Linked DNA regions of Nothobranchius furzeri. The protein of the gene in region 2 binds, or shares a complex with, the protein of the main gene of each other region. Links are inferred from orthologs where the notes say so. Each region holds a gene or a part of one and is shown on either strand. Other genes may lie near its edges.

What was found.
Region 1: the proteins of mapkap1 (region 2) and rapamycin-insensitive companion of mTOR are in contact, whole or in part, in a cryo-EM structure (PDB 7PE7), measured with the Homo sapiens proteins. The link is inferred for Nothobranchius furzeri from reciprocal best matches to the Homo sapiens genes MAPKAP1 and RICTOR. Residues at the interface, in NP_001006618.1 of Homo sapiens: Ala2, Phe3, Leu4, Asp5, Asn6, Pro7, Ile9, Ile10, Leu11, Ala12, His13, Ile14, Arg15, Gln16, Ser17, His18, Thr20, Ser21, Asp22, Asp23, Thr24, Met26, Cys27, Met29, Val30, Leu31, Ile32, Asp35, Val36, Ser84; in NP_689969.2 of Homo sapiens: Arg108, Gln137, Glu140, Thr144, Leu147, Arg148, Arg151, Lys152, Thr155, Arg182, Met183, Arg185, Ala186, Ala189, Cys192, Glu193, Leu196, Leu220, Arg222, Ile223, Glu225, Ala226, Leu227, Thr229, Thr230, His233, Asn236, Arg293, Trp295, Glu844.

Annotation. Positions count from the first base shown.
Region 1 is NC_091757.1:36,632,756-36,636,486, reverse strand, and holds the start of rapamycin-insensitive companion of mTOR, read right to left. Parts: upstream 2,827-3,731; 5' UTR 2,600-2,826; coding exon 2,485-2,599; intron 2,360-2,484; coding exon 2,312-2,359; intron 301-2,311; coding exon 203-300; intron 1-202. UniProt on the Homo sapiens protein: Component of the mechanistic target of rapamycin complex 2 (mTORC2), which transduces signals from growth factors to pathways involved in proliferation, cytoskeletal organization, lipogenesis and anabolic output.
Region 2 is NC_091746.1:37,017,424-37,019,782, reverse strand, and holds the end of mapkap1 (target of rapamycin complex 2 subunit MAPKAP1), read right to left. Parts: intron 2,263-2,359; coding exon 2,165-2,262; intron 1,162-2,164; coding exon 1,039-1,161; 3' UTR 597-1,038; downstream 1-596. UniProt on the Homo sapiens protein: Component of the mechanistic target of rapamycin complex 2 (mTORC2), which transduces signals from growth factors to pathways involved in proliferation, cytoskeletal organization, lipogenesis and anabolic output.

The DNA.
Region 1 (3,731 bases), on a different chromosome or scaffold from region 2:
TTTTACTGACACACAAGCAAACTTCGGTACACCATCTTTGTGGTCATAATATCTACACCCTGGTATAACTTTCAGAAACATACAGATGTCATTTAGCATCACAAAGTTCCTGTGGCTAGAGAATGGTTGAAAACTACATTTCAACACTGTTTAGACAGATTACACAAACTGTGGATTTGGACCATCAGATCTGCAGTAGTACCTTAATGAAGTTGTTCAGGTGGCCCAGTTTTCGCATGTTACTGACTCCATGAGGTTTGGCCACATTTTGGAGAATTTCACGGAAGTTTTCAGATGGTTCTGCAAGGGAAAGAAGAAGAAAACAATGCAACGTAACAAAGTGTGAAGCCATACTGGTATAGTATCAGTAATTGATTCACTGCAGGAAGGAAGACGGTCCAGCTCATTTAGCGTGTACAGTCAAAACAAGACGCAATTAAAAGAGCAAGATGTGAGCAGGTCAGCATTTGGTTTGCACGTCCTTCCAATTTATATGTGCTGACCACAATGTTATTGACATAAGGAATGTGGCTGTAAAACAGAGAACTCTATTGGCAAGAAGGATTAATAACTTGACATTGAAATATTGTGAAACCCAGGAAAAGTTCCAGCAGCTCCAGACACTAAAAATACATCAGGATAACCACTTTACAGATTTATTCACATACACCAAGTCCACTAGAACAACTCCACAATAGCTTAGCAGGTTTCAGGACTTTGCAAACGGTTGATTTATTTTATGAATTAAAACAAACATGCACAATAAATCTATGAATTTCATGTTGTTTACTTTTCATTGAACTTTAAAAAACAGCAAACATGTACAACCAAATATCAAGAAAGAAAATATGTTATACAGACTCATCAGTTTGATTTGATGCCCATTCAAATATATATTTAAGTATCTTATATTAGAGGTGGATTTGAAAAAAAGAGCAATGACAATAACTTCAGATAATAATCCTTCATTTAGAGCACAGACTTAGTTTGGTTTCCCTATTTGTAACAATGCATTAGTAGAAAAGTGTACATGCAAATCATTTTAGAAGCATTGCATGGTGGTTTTTTTTTTATTTCAATTTCAGGGCAGGATAAGTGCCAACCATCCAGATTAATCAAAGCTAATCGCAATTGCTTTGTGTCTTTTAAAGATCATTTTAACCCATGACAAGTGTTATTTACGCATGCTTTGATTCTGTTGAACATTCTATTGTTTAACAGTTTGGAGTCAAGCAACCCAATCAATCTTAAAATCTATGATGTCAAGCGCTGAATACAAGTACAAAACAAAAAGTATAATCTATTGAGATTTGATATTTTTGTTTACTTTAATCACTTTCCTTTACCTATTAATAACTTAGTTCAAGAGATAGTGAAATTACTGTAAAAGCCTAGAAACAGCTACAAAAATAACAGTAGACTGTAGTTTGTTGTGTTTGTTGAAAGATCCTCACAAAGAAACAGTTTGCAAACTACAATTAAAAAAGTAACTCATAATTGAGCTTTCATGTCAGTTAGCACTCTCAGGTATCATGAAATCTCATTTATCTGTGCATTCTTCTAGTCTCCTGCTCATTTTGTATCATTGCTTTAAGTTTTTTAGGAAGATTTGCTGTTTTTGTATAAACTGTAACTTTCTCAAAATACTAAGCAAGAACATTGACTGCAAATTAGCCATAAGTAGAAGTTCTTTACACGGAAACTTGATATGAAACATGGCCTCTTTGTATTTTGGCCCTCAAGATATATATGTTTAAAACCTGCAGAGGAAAACTATCGTCACTGATATCTCATATGTTAAACGCCTCCAGCTCCTTATGTCAGCAGATACAACAAAATCCTGATGGATGATGCTGTTCACGAGTGTTCCGTGTAAACAAACCGGTGTTGTTGCTGGAGCAGTGTTTCTGACCCGGCTGAGAGGCTGTAGCTCAAGAACCAGCCTGTGCAGCCATATGTGCTACTTAGCAAACAGCCAGTACACCCAGTTCCTCGTGCAGTCAGTGATGACCGATGCATGAGCTGTCTGGCTGAATAACAGGCTCTGTATCCTACTAGCACCGATCAAAACAACAGCGCGTCGTCATGGCTGGTTAGCTGTGGCAGCTAATCCAGCTCGTTTGTTAGCTCGCTACCGCCCGTTGTTATGACTAGTTAGCAATGTTTTTACACGAAACAGAAAGGAAAACTGACTAAGTAAGAATTGCAAATAAAAATACATATGCACGTCATGGTTTGAGTTTCGTTTAATGGGGCAGTGTTTACAGCAAAGTGCCATGATGATCCATTTTGAAGAATAATCGCTGATTACCTCTGCTTAGATCCAGCGGTACGTTCTCCTCCCCGCTGTCATTCCGACCTGACAAAAACACACACAGTGTACACAAAAACACATCACTCCAAGCTCATCGCGTGTATGGGGTCTTCTATTTTGCAGATTCCCGCTGTTACACCTGTCATTGAACAGAGTTTTTTCAAGCTTACCTCGCATCCGAAGACTCCGTATAGGACGGCCGCGGAAGCTGGCCGCCATGTCTCCAGGAACATACAGTACACACAACACCGGAAACTTCGCGGAATCTCGCGACAATACACGCATCAAAGACGTCGTCTGCAAACTGGCTACGACAGACCCAGTATAAACTATATACGGTATTAATGTCGATGGACAGACCCAGCAGACCTGAGACTAGACCCCTCTGCTCAAAGTCCCTCTGTTGTTTGTGGATATAAAAACAGCAATCTGATCTGGGGACGGGGTTAATCACAATAATCAAATTTCACCACTAACCTCTTTTCATCCAAAAACACATGAAAGTAAAGTTGTTGTAGAGTTTATGACCATTTCAATCATGCCAGATTAAGACCATGACACTTTATTATTGTGGATTAGTATTATATATTTACACATTTTCTTTGACAATTGACTGCTTCTCTTTGATTAATTGATTAAACTAGTAAGGGTTGACTTAAGTAGTGTGATCTAATATTTATGAACAATCCAAACTGTTTTCTAAGCAAATGGTTCCCAATCTTTCAGCTTCAGACCCTCAAAGTAGCAATTGTCAAGACATGTGACCCACAAATATCTGATTTTAAACCATGCATAAAAGCTTAATAATTTAGGGCATAAGAAAACTGCTTCAGTTCATGTACAGTAATATACATTTATGACAATGTAGTTAAGGTTTGTAACAGTTATTATAAATAATATAGCTTCAGCAATCTTGGAAATTGTCTCAAGACCCCCCATGTGGTTCTTGGTGACCCACAGCAGGATCCCAACCCTAGCTTTGGAAACCACTGGATATTTTGCCCATGAAAGCCAAAACATTCCCAATTTATTTCACAAATACAACCTACTTTAATGCAACAAAGATATATTTAGCTATCTGGCAATGAAGTATTGCAAACTAGCCTAGTAATGTTCCCATTTTGCTTTCTTGATGCTATAAATTGTTAGGATGAACACATTTATTTTGGTTAAACTTGAAGGTTTCTAGCAGTTGCCACAACTTTTGCTGCATTACACCTAGGCTACAGTATGTTTACAAAAAGCAAAATGGCTGTTTTTTTTACTTGACTTAAAATGACTAAACTGCATAGTAACAGTCAACATGCAGTGTTAACCTGCTGAAGGTCTCTTCACAGAAACATGGCAGTTAAGTCTGCAAGTTAACGATGTGAAGGATATTTTTGCCCTTTAAATTGGTCGTATTTCTAACATGTGC
Region 2 (2,359 bases):
GTGCTTCGATCCAGCAGAGTGGCAGTGACACAGCAACAATAGAGAACAGGATCTGTGCATCACTGTACTGAACCTTCATGGTCATCGAATCAAAACATCTCTATTTTAATTAAACATGGGATTATTATAAAATTACTGGTGTCATTCTCTACAGACAGTTGGAAAATTTAAAAATGCCGTTTATGTCCTGTTCCTCTGAATTCATTTTCATTAAGTCTCAGTGAGTTTGTCTTTAGTTCGTTCCAAATGTCTGGAAGCATTTAGTTAAACCAGTCTCTCACTGGGCTGTCAATGGAAGCAACACATTTCTAACACTACTGGTAGACTTTCCAGATCGCCTTTAAACCCTCGCTGGGATTCTAAACATCCGTTAAAATGATGAGCAAAAGTTTTCGCCAGTTAGCTGCAGGGTTATCTCATGCTTCTCCAACCCATCTCAGCTGCTTCTTAATTAATTTTCATGAAAAGAAATAGTAGCTTTGTAGGTGATGGTAAAGCGTAGGGCCAGAAATAACCCAGGTGTCTGGTGCAGGTACCAGATGGTTAAAACGATGCTTTCAGAAGGAGGACTGGAGAAAGAAGGTAATTCAAAGCAGTTGAGCTAGTATGGTTTGTAATATTTCATTTCCTGAATAGAAAATGTTTTTAAACAGTACATAAAAACAGGCCCACTCCAGTGGGTTAAAGAAGGAACAGAAGCAGATTTTTGCCTGTAGCTGTGATCTGTTTGTTGGGCTAACTCGACCAACTTGTAGAAGTTTTACAAATACATCTTGAAAGACAGAATTTAAATACAGAGGCAGTGAGAGAACAAAATACTTGACTGCTACACAACAGCCAAACTGTCCACAGTTCTTCAGTCTGTTGAAATTAAGTTTCCGTTTTGACGTGATCTGCTCCCTTGCGGAGATTCAGAGACTCCAGCTTGGATCAACGAAAGCAGGAAAACCTGCCTGTTATCCTGTAGGTCTCCAGCTCCGGATCAGGAGCATCAGAGAGACAGATGGTCAGGAAAAGGTCTGCACCAGCAGCTTCTGTCTACTGACCCGTCTTCTTCTCTTTCTGGAAGCTGAAACTTGTCCGACGACTGAGCTTTCTCTGCTTCTGGGCATAGTAATCAGCCCGAGAGGTGCTGGCCCGAGACTCCAGGATGTAGTTAACCTACGCAAACCCCAAAACACAAAACTGCTTCAGTCATAGCATGTATGGCGTGATGATGGAATGTGTTCTGCTCAGATATCTATTCAAGAATATCACATCTGAACCGTCTCCATCACTGGAAAATGGTCTCCCAGAGCAGAAAGAACCGGATATTTAGGGATGCTGTGGATGATGGATGACGGCATTTTTATGAAAATCACTCAAGGTACATTTGACATAAGTGGTTTCAACAAAAACAGCCAGAGTGGGACTTTAATACTCCACCACTGGTTATCCTCAAAGGTTCAGAAAACCTCAAACTAAACAAATAATCAAAATAATGAGGAAAATAATTATTCTTTTAACTTTCTGGTGAACCAGATTATCACCATGAGCTGCAACATTCCTCTGACCTGAGTCCAGCTGCAGCACTTTGGTGAAAGCAGCATTTCAGTCCCATTTACAAATATCACTGTCCATTATGTTCATTAAGGACGTTTTTAATTAAAGAACATGTGATAAAAAAGCCTAACTGAATTAGAGTGTTGAAGAGTTGCTCCAAATGGACGCACAGACATCAGACTGTAAACATCTGTCAGGCCTGGGCTCAACTTCCTGTTGGGGCGACAGTGGCACAGGAGTTAAGTGCTCGCCTCGTAATCAGAAGGTTACAGGTTCGAGCCCCGCTCAGTCTGTCGCTGTGTCCTTGGGCAAGACACTTAACCCGCCTTGCCTGCTGCTGGTGGTGGTTGGAGGGACCAAACTCACCTCTGTCAGTGTGCCCCAGGGTAGCTGTAGCTACAGTGTAGCTCATCACCACCAGGGTGTGAATGGGTGAATGACTGATTGTGTTGTTAAGCGCCTTGGGGGGTTCCAGGGCTCTAGAAGGCGCTATAACAAACACAGGCCATTTACCATTTAGGTAAACAATTTAAACCAATGAGTTTCTTCCACAGCAGTAGAGAAATGTGAGTGTTTGTCCTCAGACAGGAGCAGGTTACAGTCAGAGTCAGAAAAAACTCACCTTCAGCACTATTTCATTGACCGTAGCAGCATCAGACTCAAAGTACAGAGGCTTATAGTCATGGTTGCTCAGATAGGTGAGTTTAAATATAGCATGACCTGTAAGGCAAGAAAACAACAGAAAAAGCACATCATCAACTCTCTTGGTTGTGTGGAGTCCACCAGCTCTAAAACAAATAAGTCCCATCTCAGACAG